3 linked regions of the Arabidopsis thaliana genome follow. The protein of the gene in region 1 interacts with the protein of each later gene in a pairwise test. Each region holds a gene or a part of one and is shown on either strand. Other genes may lie near its edges.

What was found. Proteins that work in one complex are often made in the same cells at the same time.
Region 2: the proteins of CERK1 (region 1) and PAE2 interact in a two-hybrid assay, tested with the Arabidopsis thaliana proteins (one study listed by BioGRID).
Region 3: the proteins of CERK1 (region 1) and VSP2 interact in a two-hybrid assay, tested with the Arabidopsis thaliana proteins (one study listed by BioGRID).

What each region holds. Positions count from the first base shown.
Region 1 is NC_003074.8:7,614,855-7,620,591, forward strand, and holds CERK1 (chitin elicitor receptor kinase 1), read right to left. Parts: upstream 3,818-5,737; 5' UTR 3,677-3,817; coding exon 3,037-3,676; intron 2,941-3,036; coding exon 2,907-2,940; intron 2,819-2,906; coding exon 2,811-2,818; intron 2,714-2,810; coding exon 2,558-2,713; intron 2,469-2,557; coding exon 2,275-2,468; intron 2,197-2,274; coding exon 2,107-2,196; intron 2,014-2,106; coding exon 1,920-2,013; intron 1,843-1,919; coding exon 1,691-1,842; intron 1,593-1,690; coding exon 1,504-1,592; intron 1,422-1,503; coding exon 1,286-1,421; intron 1,190-1,285; coding exon 1,091-1,189; intron 851-1,090; coding exon 689-850; 3' UTR 503-688; downstream 1-502. Other genes in the region: TWD1 (FKBP-type peptidyl-prolyl cis-trans isomerase family protein), read right to left, coding at 4,171-4,503, 4,593-4,745, 4,886-5,008, 5,120-5,304, 5,545-5,634.
Region 2 is NC_003074.8:4,762,175-4,767,120, reverse strand, and holds PAE2 (20S proteasome alpha subunit E2), read right to left. Parts: upstream 3,098-4,946; 5' UTR 2,898-3,097; intron 2,795-2,897; 5' UTR 2,758-2,794; coding exon 2,744-2,757; intron 2,612-2,743; coding exon 2,530-2,611; intron 2,338-2,529; coding exon 2,257-2,337; intron 1,965-2,256; coding exon 1,851-1,964; intron 1,757-1,850; coding exon 1,655-1,756; intron 1,344-1,654; coding exon 1,285-1,343; intron 1,189-1,284; coding exon 1,086-1,188; intron 992-1,085; coding exon 926-991; intron 833-925; coding exon 740-832; 3' UTR 512-739; downstream 1-511. Other genes in the region: ATPMEPCRC (pectinesterase family protein), read left to right, coding at 1-216; AT3G14280 (LL-diaminopimelate aminotransferase), read left to right, coding at 4,835-4,946. UniProt on the Arabidopsis thaliana protein: The proteasome is a multicatalytic proteinase complex which is characterized by its ability to cleave peptides with Arg, Phe, Tyr, Leu, and Glu adjacent to the leaving group at neutral or slightly basic pH.
Region 3 is NC_003076.8:8,499,957-8,503,974, reverse strand, and holds VSP2 (vegetative storage protein 2), read left to right. Parts: upstream 1-1,750; 5' UTR 1,751-2,130; coding exon 2,131-2,540; intron 2,541-2,781; coding exon 2,782-2,994; coding exon of another isoform or gene 2,995-2,998; exon of another isoform or gene 2,999-3,087; coding exon 3,088-3,262; 3' UTR 3,263-3,507; downstream 3,508-4,018. UniProt on the Arabidopsis thaliana protein: May function as somatic storage protein during early seedling development.

The DNA.
Region 1 (5,737 bases):
TGAAAGTTTAGAGGACACATTATGTTAAAAAAAAAGGTTTGAGATCTGACTTTTGGAATGAAAAAGTTTTGATTTAATATTAGTCAGTTTAAGGTAACTTTTTGTGTGTTTTAAATAATTATTCCGTTACAAATAATGGACAAACGAAAAAAAATCATAGATATATGTAGCCGTATCTGTATGTTGTTGACAGAAGAAAAAAACAAAAAATGAAATATATTGGTTTATGGTAAAAGAATATTCGATTACTCTATTTCTAATAAAGAAAATCTAGCTAGGTGAAATAAGAAACATACTTAGTGTTCTAAGCTGGAATATAGATTTTATGTATTGGGGAATCCATGTGACAAAATCATTCGAATTTCTTTGGTGTTATGGAAGACTTGTTCTAAGCTTCGTGAGAGTATCCATCACAAAAAGTTATATTTTTATGTTTTGATTTTTTTGTCGGCAAACTCGATTTCAAAAAATTTATTTATGAGAATTTTAATGCATTTCATTATTATCTTTGACGTGAGATGCTGATATCGGAGACGTTGAATAATTGACATATAGAGCGTTATAGAAAATCATATAAAAGTCAACTTGTGAGTTGTGACATGTAAAGTTCGTATAGACAGACAAAATATACGTGAGCATACCAAAAAACAATCATTTCTATATAACAACAGCAAACCGGAAAACGAGTCTACCGGCCGGACATAAGACTGACTAAATCTTCGTTTTGGAAGTTTCCAACATCCCAATTTCCGGTAGACGAAAAGAGAGTGGATAAAGCAACCACAATGTATCTCATACTCGGACGTAGCTGCGCATTCTCTTGTGTACATGCTTTCCCTAATTCCGCCATCTATACCACAACACATAAAACACCAAATTGGCTTACCCCGTTATTAAAATTAGCTATGTGCAATCCGGTATTCGGTTTGATTTTTCGACACTTTAAGCTAATCGAATAGCACATTGTTCAGTGAATACCGGTTTTTAAAAATCGCACTTTTAATCGGTTTTTCGGACCAAAAAACGGATTGGACACCCTCTTTTAGAATGATCAATGATGAATAGAATAGGGAACAAGAAGAGATATTACCTTGTATACCGAATCAAACGGGTAACTATCACCGAGCCTCGGGTCTATAATCTTGCGTAGTGCTTCTTCTTTGTCGGTTTCCTTGAATGATTCTTCGAACTGAATAATAAATAAACAAAGCATATTGTTAAGTGATCCACATACATGCCTTTAAATCAGAAAGACTAAATGTTACGAAGAAACAATAATACTAACCACACCAACAAGGCCTCTAAATTCACCAACGGCTTCTGTCATTTTGACAACCGCACCTTTCGCAGAAATCAATTCGTAAAGGACAACTCCAAATGCATATACATCTACTTTTGCAGACACTTCTCCATAAACAGTCCTGCATACATACATATATACACCATCACTATAGTGTAGTCTCTAAAGTAGTATATAAGTGTAAACGAGATCAAATTCTTTACTCTGGTGCCATGTAACCAAATGTACCCATTGCACCCCGAGTTGCTGAACCTCCAACTTCTGTCAGTTTTGTTAACCCGAAATCTGCTACCTGTAACACGTAAACGACTCAGAGCGGTGACAAAGGAAAAATCTAACCTTTTCAGTATTTTTCACTTTTGATTGACAAAAGAGAAATCGAGAATGTACCTTTGCTCGGAATTTCTGGTCTATCAAAATATTGGCAGATTTAATGTCCCTATGGACATAAACTGGAACCGTGTGCTCGTGGATATATTCTAAACCTCTAGCTGAGTCTAGTGCAATCTGCACTCTCTTAGTCCACGGTAATGGTTCTCGTCCTAGTTTCACATAAACTCTTTTAGTTTACAACTTTCTCGAAAAATGATTCACTTTTGGAGGTCTTTATATTGCGTACCTGACCCATGTAAATGTTGTCCAAGGTTACCATTCTCAACATATTCATACACCAAGAAAAGTGATCCCTCAACACAATATCCAATCAGGCGAACCTGCAAGAAAAAACAAATTCGTTAAAATTTGGCTAAGACTTGATCTTCATCTGATCTCAGATATTATCTTGAGAGAACACAAAAGGGGTTTACCAGGTTGACATGATGTACACGCGTTAAGACTTTTAGTTCCGCCAAGAACTGTTTCGATGCCTCCATGTCCATCTTCTTAATCGCAGCTTTCTATACAAGAACCGAATAATTTAAATGTTCCATGTGTAGTAGCTTCAAACAAAAAGATATAAAAAGATATCTGCTTACTTCTCCTCTCAGCTCTGCATAGTAAACAGCCCCAAAACCACCTTGCCCAATCTTAAAAGACAAATTGAAATTATCAGTAGCCTTTGCTAGTTCCTCCAACGAAAACTCAACAGATTTGTCCACGCTTATGGCAGCAATGCCAGGAGACACTCCGGCACCACCCAAACCTCCACTTTGGAGACTAGTAGAAGAAGCTAAAAGCAGATTTCATATAAACATAATAAGCAACTCCCAGCTAACAAAAGAGACAAAAACTGCTTGTATATGATCATCACGAAATTACCATGATCAGCCTTAGTAGACAACGGAATAGAAGAAGAAAACGAATCACCCTTCGACTTATTCTTCCGGTAAGCATAATATACGATAAACAAGATCAACAACAAAGCCACAATCACTCCTATAACTATACCAGCAATAACTCCAGCACCAACACCATCTGCTAATACAAAAAAATATCAAAAACATACTCTTCCATGTCTCCTCTTGCTTCGTGCATAATCATCAAAAGCTCAAAAATGGAGAAAAGAACCAACCTTGTTTACTACAAAAAACATAAGAGAAGTAGAAATACATCAGTAAATAGATATCAAAATGAACAAAGATACAATCTTAACAACAACAAAAACAACCTTGATTTGAATGGTGGAAATGCACCATTTGGATCTGCAAAAAACACAGGAACATGTACATAAACTTCAACAATCATTACTACATTTATAACAATTTGTGTCACAAATCATCAAAGATCAATCTTTGTACCTCTTCCAGGCACATAAACGATTCCATTCCCGGAGTTAAAATTAACACCGGGATTATATCTCTGCAGAATATCCGCCGATACACCGGAAGATCTCGCAATAGAACTGAGACTGTCTTCAGGACGAAGCGGATACGTAACAAACAAACCAAAATCTTTCGAAACACTCTCATCACCACAAGAACAATTCACCAATACATTAAGCGTCGCAGAGAGAGGTATGTTAGTCGCCGGAAAAGGATTCCTCGCCTGTAACGACTCCATCGTCGTGAGATTCGCGTAATTACTAATCGCGACTCTTTCGTAAGTATCTTCCTGTCGAACACTGTAGCTGAAATTGTGCCCTAGGAAATCACCAGGTTGACATTCGCAAGGGAAAGGTACAAGAACCCTAGAGCCCATCTGGATTCTATCTTTGTCTTTAATGTTACTGTTGTACCTGAGGATTGGATCGAAATTGATTTGATCGTAAGGCGCGATTGAAGAATTGAGGTTTTGGTTGATGACGGAGAGTGTTGTTCCGTTCTCGAGATAGTACGAAGCTAGAGCTAAAGGACAGCTAGTCCTGCACTTAGATTCCACGGCGAAGAAGAATGAGAAGAGAAGAAGAATCGGAGCGATTAGAGAAATCTTTAGCTTCATTTTGAAGCTTCCTTAGATTCCCCAGAGGAAGGGTCTCTGTTTTTTTTGTTTCGTCGTTGCTCTGTGGGGAAGAAGATGGATTCAAAGACGAAAAAGGTTGACTTAATCAAACGTTGACTATTTTTTTCAACTAAAGAGAATGATGATTACTGATTAGTGTTTGTTAATTGTTGAGAAGTTTCTTAATTAATTAATAATACTAAGATCATTTAATGCAACTAGCAGCTGGAATTTGAAAGTCTTTGGTCAAAGACAAAAACTATGAAGACCGCCATTTCTGTTGAAGGAAGTAGATTTTACGTTCGAATTTTGTATGTTTTTTGTTAAAAATTTATTTTTTTGGATCAAAATATAAAGTTACTTTATAATCGAAAACAATAGAGACTATTTTTTTTTCTTATATAAAATATTTTTCAAAATTCTCACTAATAAGAAATGGGGGTAGATCTTTCACGTTGGTCTTTTAGAGTTGAATTGTTACCCTTCTTCATACATTAATCTGCTTTAACTCTGTGGCGTCGAAAGATACGGGAGAAAAGGGAAACAAACCATTGCCATAACACTATCAACCAAAAAAGGCTCTTTGACTTAGCACCACCTTCATCTTTCCCTTTGAATATTCCTTTGTACATTTCTTTCTGCTTTTGGTACAAGGCTTTCTCTTGCTCTGCAAGTGCTCGTAGCTCTCTTCTAATCGCCTTGTCGTCAGGAGCATACTTTTGTGCCTTTCGGAAATCATCACGTGCTGAGTCCATCTGTCCTAGCTCTGCCTTTGCTTTCCCTCTTCTGAACAGTGCTTTTGGGTTTTTCTCTTCTTCTGTCAACACCTGATAAGGTTTTGAGTTTGATTAGATTTCGAGAAACCGAGTATGAACTTTAATGATTTTCTTCAAATGAATGGTTTGATGAGTCTTACAATGTTGCAGTGACCAATTGCTTCATCGTATCGTTTTAGTTTGATGAGGCAAGCTGCTATGTTAAGATGGCATGGGTTTTTAACTGCTAAAGCCATATCCTGGTACTTCCCATACAGCTGAAACATAAAATCGTCCCCCATGTATGCTATGGCCTGAAACAGCAAAACCATGACTAATCAAAAGCCGAAAGAAGACACAAGAGCCTCGAGCAGACTCACTAAGTATGCCTGAAAACCTAAACTTTGACCGTAATTGTTGGAAAGAGAGATAGAGATAGAGAGAGATGCATAACCATTTCATACTGTTGCATGGCTTCCTCCAGTTTCTCCTCCTTAAAAAGAGAATTCCCATCCATTTTTCTTCTGTCTGCTGCACCAATCCTTTCCTCTACAGTCATATCACTGCGAGCTTTTCCCTGTTCAATACATCATCTAAGTCAGAGAGGTAAGCAAGGAGGTTGGGATAAAGCTTGGATGTGGAGTCGTCTTGGTAAGGAAACAAGATGATGGTATAGGAAATAACTTACCTCCTTTGTTTCATCAAACCCAATAACTTCCACCTCATATAACAAGTCTGCCATAGGTGGAACATTCGGAAAAGAAAAGTTTCCTTCTTTCCCATAAGCTAATTCCCAGCCAACATGCACAAGCGCACGTTCACCAGACTTCATGCTAGCAACACCGATGGCTAAACCGGCTAGTTCTTTTTTCTCTGTCTCACAGACAACATTTCACTCTTAGTGCACAATCTTTTTTATAAAAAAAATTGTATAGTGACGTTAAAATGGGCTAATCAGCATTGAAGCAAAAAAAATACAAAACTCAATCTTTTTTCCTCCCAAATATCCATCTCATTGGGTTCATATAATACACAAGCTAACTCATCAAATTTACCAATGACGATTCATCTAACGAAATGGAGGTGTAGAGTACATATTCGACAGCCACATACCTTTTCCAAGAACCAATTCAATAGGTTGCTGCTCATGCCATGTATCCTCAAATTTGTGCTGCGAGTTTTTGGTCCATGCCCTGTAGTGCACTATGGCCAATATGAAATTGGTCAGATAGAAAGATTCAAATAAACAGTAGCAATAGGCCAACAAGTGCAATCGAAAAATCAACATCCAATCAACAGAAAGCTA
Region 2 (4,946 bases), 2.9 Mb from region 1:
GCGTGGAATTCGACTTATGACCCGCCTCCACGTACTATATTCTATAGAGAGTACAAGAATTCAGGTCCTGGGTCGGATCTATCCAAGAGAGTTAAATGGGCTGGGTATAAGCCCATTTCGTCTGATGATGAGGCTGCAAGGTTTACGGTTAAGTATTTTCTCCGAGGGGATGATAATTGGATTCCAAAGGCGGTTATGGGAATGCCCCCTCTGTAAACTTAATCACTTATTATTTGTTTTCTTAAGTTTTCAATTATTATTATTTTTTCTATAGATTTAGCTAAAGATATGTTTAAAAAATACAATATATTCTTTTGTAACCTCAAAGAAATATATTTTATTTTTTTAAAGATTTAGCTAAAGATAGGTTTTCACGATCAGCGCTTCTCTTAATGGGGTTTGGGTTAAATTCAGTGAGGGTGGTTATATAGATAATAAATATATAATTATCTTATAATTGAGATTTTTTTTCCGACGTACAATGATGATATGTACATAATAGATTTCAACTTTCAAGTTCTGATTTTTTCTTTTGGACAGATATTTATTAGTTTTAACTTCTTGTTGAAAACGACAAAAAAATGTAGATAGAAAGCTCAATAAAACTCAACTCGATAAAATCCATTATCTGATTAAACGAAACTAATTTTTGGTTTAGAGAACCGGAAGCAGACAGAAGCCTGATAAATTACCGAACAGACAAGGTAAGATAACAGGAAGAGAATGGCGGTTTATTTCTTCATAGACGACTGATGACGGCTTCAACCTCCTGAGGAGTGTAGAGGTGATAAGCTGGTGCGACTTTGGCAATGTCGACATTGTTTGGAGTCACCTAAACCAGAAAAGTAGAGAGTATCAAAAAGGGCTAAACCGGAGAGGGATTTAATGGGATTTTTAATAAACAAACTTGTAATCAATTGAATACCTTTTCTTCCATTACTTGCTTTAGGATAGATACAGCTATTGTTTCAGCTTCTTGAAGAGTTATATCCTGTAAGAGTTGTGAAATTGGAGTTCAAGGAAACTTCAAAAGAAATAGATTCTGTAATGCGCTTGGGACAGTGAAACAATCACGTTATTAGTACCTTGTTGAATTGCTCTTGGAGAGAACTATCAGCTCCTTCTGAGCCAGACCCAATTGCCTTTGCATTGCATTGCCAGAATGTTCCCGATGGATCTGTGTAGTACCTATACAGGATTGAGTTGTTTAACATTTGTTGTTTACCAATTTGAGATCATCTACACAGTTGGAAAATGATATAAGCGAAATGAATAACAACTTACAGGCTCGGTCCATTTTCATCATGCCCAGCAATGAGAAGGGATACTCCAAATGGACGAGACTGCAAAAAGTTTGTGAGACCGAGCATAAGTACATTCATATAAAAAGGAGACAGTAAAGAACCAAAGAATATTTGCTAAAACATTATGGAAGATTAGGGATTGTTATAGTGGTGGTTCCTAAAGAGTTATATCTATTAATTCACAACAAAAATTTAAAACCCCAATCTAAGGGTTTATCTCTGATAATTGATCATAATTTCCAAGCAGAAAGAAGAGAAATCCACTAAACATTGCCTATGCTATAAAGGTAATAGAGCGATTACTACCATTGACTCTTCCTATGCTATAAAGGTAATAGAGCGATTACTACCATTGACTCTTCCTCTCCTTCACCAAACCGTAAAGCAAGATCACACAAAGCTTGTGTTGTAGATTCTACAGTCATTGGCTCACCATACGAGAACCTGTGGTTCTGCTCAACATAATAAAACCAGTTGGTAACAGAAAGAACTTTTGATGTAAAAACAAATCCATGAGAAACAGAAAGTCAGAAACTGAGATCTCACCTGGGTCTCTACTCGTGCATGCTCAACAAGTGTTCGCGCGTCAGCAATCAGACCACTCATAGCACAACCTATATGGTCATCAATTTCCATAATCTTCTCAACACTACTCGGCTCCTACTTAAAAGATAAAAAAGAGACTGAGAAAGTAGTTACCATCATAGGGTAAACTCAAAAAGGTATTACAAATTCATACTAATATTACCTTTCAGATTCTATCACTCATGCCAATTCAAGACTAAATTTGTAGCATAATGTGCGTGTACCAAAATCATAAAGGCACGGAAATAGTAAAGCAAAGAAAACTTCTTAGATACTAACAAATCAACCAGATGGAAACTGCTAAACATAACAAATGTTAATAAAACAGTGGAGTCACACGGAGAAGATACAAGGAGAGAAACTATACCAGTAAAGGCGAAGTAATACGCTTCTCGACTGCAAGAACAACTCCCTCTTTCGTCTTTACACCAATAGCAGTAGAACCAAGCTGCAATCAAACCATAACAAACCCATCAATGGATACAAAAAGGGCATGCCCAATCTATTGTCTACTCCCCAACAAAGCACACTAACACAATAATGGATTAAGTAACCAAATTCGTTTAAGCAAACAAAGAAACATCCCAACTTTACTAGATTCTAGAGAAGCTATTAGCAGCTAGAGTAATCTATAAATTACCTTGATAGCTTCAATGGCATACTCAACCTGAAAGAGACGACCTTCAGGAGAAAATGTATTGACTCCTCTGTCATACTCAGTCCTTAAGAACAAAAAAAAAAAAAAAAAAAAACTTGATCAATACAAGCACCATAATCGTTGGATTCGAAGTTTTCCCAGAAACGGTGATACACGATTCTGAAGAAATCGAAGGAAGAAATGCTCAATTTTGTACCTAGTGAGAAACATCTTCTTCTCGATTTCGATCTGAGATAAACCTCAATGTCTGCACAAAAGTTATTAAACCCTAAAAACATTACAGATCGAATGAAAAAAATAGGAAACGATTCAAGTAACTAAGAACTTGTATGGATGCAAAAAAACTTTACCAGCTGAGAATTGATCTACGAATCGAAGAAACAAACTCTTCCCAGTTCCTTTTTAGCTCCCGTAGACAAGCACTCTTGAGTAACAAGTTAGACTTTGATTAACACTTGGGCTGTTAATGGGCCTAAATATCTTATCAAACGGGCCTTAACTTAAGTCTAATATGAGAAGCATACGCCATTAAACGGACCTTCAATTAGGCTACTGTATACTTCTTGACCAAATCTTTTAGCCTAAACCCATTACTTTAACTCGTAGACGTATGTTTCTAGTATTTGTTAATTATAAAATAAGTGATGATGAAGATAATGTTAAATAATTTCTGTATCAAATTTTATAATCAAACTTGCTTATATTAAATTTGGAGATCGTACGATATTGATAAGTTAGGCCACCACTCCGCGATGATATAAGTGGACGACGATCTAGAAAATTAATAAAAACTTTGGTGACGTATTTAACCTCCCAACCTCCTGAAACAGAGACCACAAAATATTTGATTATAGTTTTTCATTCAATGTACTACAATTTATATACTATCGACTCGGGTGATCGATCTAAACATTCTCTATCGAAATTATAATTTAAATTTGGTTTAACCGACAGAAAAAAATGGATTTTGGAAGTCTTTTTAAAAATTGTTAAAAGCGATTTTGGAAGTTTTGCTCCAACATTTTGTGACCAACCCTTCTAATCTATGGTTCCACCATTTATATGTATTTTTGGTTAAAAATGTTCATAAACTATTATAAGGATTCCAAAGTTGCTGATGACTCAGAAACTTGTATAAATCTGTTGTATTATTCTTTTAACAAAACAAAATAAAGATTCGCAAGAGTTTAATTAATTTGGTGGAGGAATATTCGTTGTTATTATAGTATTGTTTTGCATTTCTTTAGTAATCAAACCAGCGAAATAAATATCATTGCTCGGAGCCTCTGACTCGAACGTACCTTATTGTGGTTAAGAAGAGACAGCTTTTTTCCCGAGAAACTGTACGACGATGTCTCCATGTTTAGCCTACAATTAGTCTCTTGTCTAAATCATAGCAATAATATAACACCAATTATTGTCATTTTGCAATTAAAAATGCTCCTAAAAGCTTATCATGACGCTTGATATATCGACACGTGCCACGGTTTAATTAAGTAGGAGTTAATTCGTCATTGGACGGCAGATAAGCACTGTAACAACTAATTTGCTCGATGTTTAGTTTTTCTTTTACTCTAATATTAATATTATCTCAACATAACGAAAAAATTGGTTGAATGCAAGTGCAACTAATAGCACGCAAGTTTTTGAAATTAATGTAATGACAGATTAATTGTTTCGATGGAAGGTCAAATGTCTTTTTTACCTTTTTAGGTCAGAAGGAAGGTAAAATGTCTTAAGTCTATAAACTATTTCAGTTGGGGAATTATTTGTTTTTGTCTCATATTATTTTGTCAAAGAATCGGGTTATAAAACTCATTTTGTTTCTCAAATATAAGTGTTACAGAATCTAAGTAGTTTTCTTAGTAATATTTTTTAAACATTAACGGAGTAAGAAATCCCAATAATAGTTTTATAAAAATTTATGTAATAAAAATACACCTGACTAGACATACACATGTATATGTGTAGATATATTCAACGATTTCACATTGACGTTCATCAAAAATCAAACGTAAGAAGAAAAACGAAACCATTAGAAGAACTAACCAAACCCCACGAAAAAGACAACCAAACTTGTTAATGAGATTGCCACTCTTATTGGCTATTATTTTATCTTCACCTTGCGTCTATATATAATTGACTTAAAAAAAAATCTTAATTAAACTCAGATTCAATCAATCATCGGAATTTATAATTTTCTTCTCTGAGAACTATAAACCAAACGAGTTGTCCAAAAAGAAGAGATCAAAGTTTCTTCTTGAAGAAAGAAAGAAACACAAAAGCTATGGCATATTCAACTAAACTTTATCTTCCTCTTAAAACACCATGTTTTGTTCCAAAGACAGTAAGAGCAAAGACTTTGATGCTTCAACAGAGTCAAGTTCATGTTAAAGTCA
Region 3 (4,018 bases), on another chromosome or scaffold:
GCACCTCGTAGTATGTTCCCGGTGCAAGATTATCTTCGGGTGATAAATCTTTCACAAAATCAGTAATCGCATCCACACAATCCTCGGACAAATTATAATCCGTTTTGATACCCATCAACTTAGTTGCAGCAGATAAAGGCGAATGACCCTTTTTACATCCTTTATATAAGGGATATTTTGCTGCATCTAACATATCAAAAAACTTCCGTGCTTCTAAATTAGGTTCCTCTACTCTATCACTATCCCCATCAAACGAGTGTACATTTTCACGAAAAGCATCATTTACCATCTGAACGGTACCTACATTTGCATCTACTTCCGGATTTGGTTCCACTAACCTATCAACAGGATAATATTCGCTACAACTACCATAATTCACCATTGACTCATTCTCTCCATGCATGAACCAAACTTTGTACCCCGACATAAACCCTTCCCCATATAAGTGCATCCAAACTTGAGATACATGAAGAACTCCAAAATTCCGACATGTACAACACATTTTTTTTGATTCGATGGTTACCGGTTGATTTGTCGCGAATGCCATGAATTGTTTAAGACCTTCTGCATATTCCGGCATTAGTAACTCCGTTAGCGGATCACGCATGGGCTGGTCCATCCATGATCGAAAATAATTAAACGGATTTGAAGAAGCCATTTCTCTCTGGTTATATTTTGTTGCTGCTTGGACGATTTTGTGAATGATGGTAGAAAAATATAAAGATGAGAATTATCAATGTTTTCGACGGGTTTTCGACGGACGTCCGACGGGTTTTGGCGACGAATTTCCGACGGAAATTTTGAATATTTATTTTTTAAAATAAAAAAATGCACGGCTATGTGACCGTGCGGCGAATTGACCGAGTAGCTACTTGACCGAGTGTATTTCGTTGGAATTCCGTCGGAAAAGTGCAGAATATTCTGATGAATATTCTAGGGATCAAAACGGATATATTTTGGTCGGAAATCCGTCGAAACATTTGGTCGGATTTAATTTGGTCGGATTTAATTTGGTCGGAGTTTCGTTGGAAATGACTGATGAATTGTCGATCATTTAGAATTCGTCAGAAAAGTTCGACGACATTTTGACGGAAAACATGTCGTCAGAAAACCGTCGGAATACCATTACGAAACCGTCGAAAATTTTCGACCGTTTATTTATCGTCGAAAAGTCTGTCGAAAAGGGTTTTGTTCTCTTGTAGTGTACCACAACTTGGTTTGCAACACTATATATACTTTTTGATATATAAAAATTCTATTAAACTACTTAAATATTTCGTCATGAGGTTATATGCATTAGAAAAAAATATATAACAATATTGTTGGAAGACTGGACAATTATCGTTGAAACTATAGCTATCACCAAGATACAACTTTTTGTGGAAAATCTTGGTGGCAATTAGAAACTGTTCCCAATCTCGGGCATGAAAATCGTTATTCAAATATTTGTCAACAACTAGTGAATAGTGATACAGCTATATATGTTTGCTAATTTATTGAATTATTTAATGTTACGACTTTACGTAACAATTATTTAACGTCTATTCTTGTGTACCTCACATTTCTTATCGTCATGTCTCATCTCTTATATTATTCACAGTACACCCATCTCTTCTCGCTCACTGTGGAACCTGTTGTCAATTACTCGTTTTGCATTTTATTGGTTTTCCCAATTACTCTATCAATTATTTATCAAAAAAAAAAAAATGAAACATTTACTCTATATATTATTTCCGCAAACACAAATTATACTCACATCAACATATTCAATACATTTTTCTAGTAATGTAGAACAACTTTACAGTATTCTCCAAAACGAAACTCTAATTCAAAATTTACAAGCAGATAAGCCAAAGATAATAGAACAACAAAACGCCAAATTCTAGTTAAGCACACAATCTCAACGTGCACTAAAAACGAGTGGTGTAAGTGAAAAATATCGTCGATTATAAACATTATGGGACCAGTAGCATTTGTTGCACCAATCGAAAACAGACAAGCACACATATCTCCTCATTTCTCATCTGGCTTCTTAATCATTTCTCATAACCCCACCTCATTATAAATACCACCCTTTGCGTCACACATATAAACATCACAAACTAAACAATAAACCATACCATAAAAAACATGAAAATCCTCTCACTTTCACTTCTCTTGCTCTTGGCCGCTACGGTCTCGGCATCCGTTCCAGGGCTCATCGAACTCGTCGATTCGAAAACCATCTTTGGGAACGTAGCCGAACTCTTAGAGAAAGAGAAACTTTCCATCAACTACGCCAACTGCAGAAGCTGGCACCTTGGTGTTGAGACCTCTAACATCATAGACTTCGACACGGTGCCCGCAAATTGCAAAGACTATGTTGAAGACTACTTGATCACTTCCAAACAGTACCAATACGACTCCAAAACCGTGTGCAAAGAGGCTTATTTCTATGCCAAAGGACTTGCCCTAAAGAACGACACCGTCAATGTTTGGATCTTTGACCTAGATGATACCCTCCTCTCTAGTATTCCCTACTACGCAAAATATGGATACGGGTATATATACGCATAATTATCATTATTAGTTCTACCCACACCACCTCCATTGCATTAACAATATTATCTTCATATTTTTTTTTTAATGGTTTAGATATCACTATATGCACGTTTCGGTTTTATTTTATATATATTATTTGCAACTCTAAATAGTTTCAGTACTGACCTAAATGTTTTTTTTCATATATATCTTACTTTGTGATTTCATTTTGAACTACTTTTTTTTTTTTTGGATTCTTAGAACAGAGAAGACCGACCCGGGGGCGTACTGGTTGTGGTTAGGGACCGGAGCATCAACCCCTGGACTCCCGGAGGCCTTGCATCTTTACCAAAACATCATAGAGCTCGGGATTGAACCCATCATACTCAGTGACCGTTGGAAGTTGTGGAAGAATGTCACTCTCGACAATCTCGAAGCTGCTGGCGTGACCTACTGGAAGCATCTCATATTGAAGTAAGAATATTCAAGTAGTTAGTTATATAGTAATTAAATAAATTATAAGTATCATATATGTGATTGAATCAAGGACTAAATATGGAAATGTAGGCCTAATGGTTCGAACTTGAGGCAAGTGGTGTACAAGTCAAAGGTGAGGAAGAGTCTCGTGAAGAAAGGATACAACATCGTTGGCAATATCGGAGATCAATGGGCTGATTTGGTTGAGGATACCCCTGGGAGGGTTTTTAAGCTCCCAAATCCACTCTACTACGTACCTTCTTAAGAATCTATCTTCATCGCATTGTCCCCTTGTATACACTTCATATCTATGTCGTTTCGTTTATCTTTGTAGCCGTTTTGGCACCGCTGCATAAATAAAATGTCTATCCTATCGTAACTTAATAAGTACAAAGACTTCGTACTAAATGTTGTTTTTCTTTAAAGGGGTCATTAATTAAGTGGCCATGAAATGATATTCACCATGTAAATCTAATACAATGAAAAGTATAAATTTGAACTGGAAACTAACTTAGCTAAATAAATTTATAAAATTAAAAATAAAATTTAATTGGGAAATTTGGAATAAAAATATTTCTATAATTTATATTATGAAAAGTAAAATATTAACCATGTCGCAATTTAGTAAATCGAAGGTTGGTATGTGTTGTGACACAATCTCGTAAATTAAAGGTTGGTATGTGTCACCATTTTGTGAGTCACGTTTAATTGTTTACTACTTGGTTATCAGCACACGAGAAGTATATAATCCGATAGAAAACGTAAACATGGTATATAAAATAATGTGAGTCAGATAATTAAAATGAAATAATTTTATAATAAGAAATAAAGATGTAATCAAGAAAATAGATGTAAATTATTGCCAAATTAACAGTGAATATCTTTTTCTGACTGTGGTTTTTGTTTAATTTTATGAATACATAATGTTTTCTCCATAACATGTTATTTTTCCGTAACATCTTGTTTTTCTGTAAATGTTTAATTTTATTAGATGACATCATACCAAAAATAAATTTGAAAC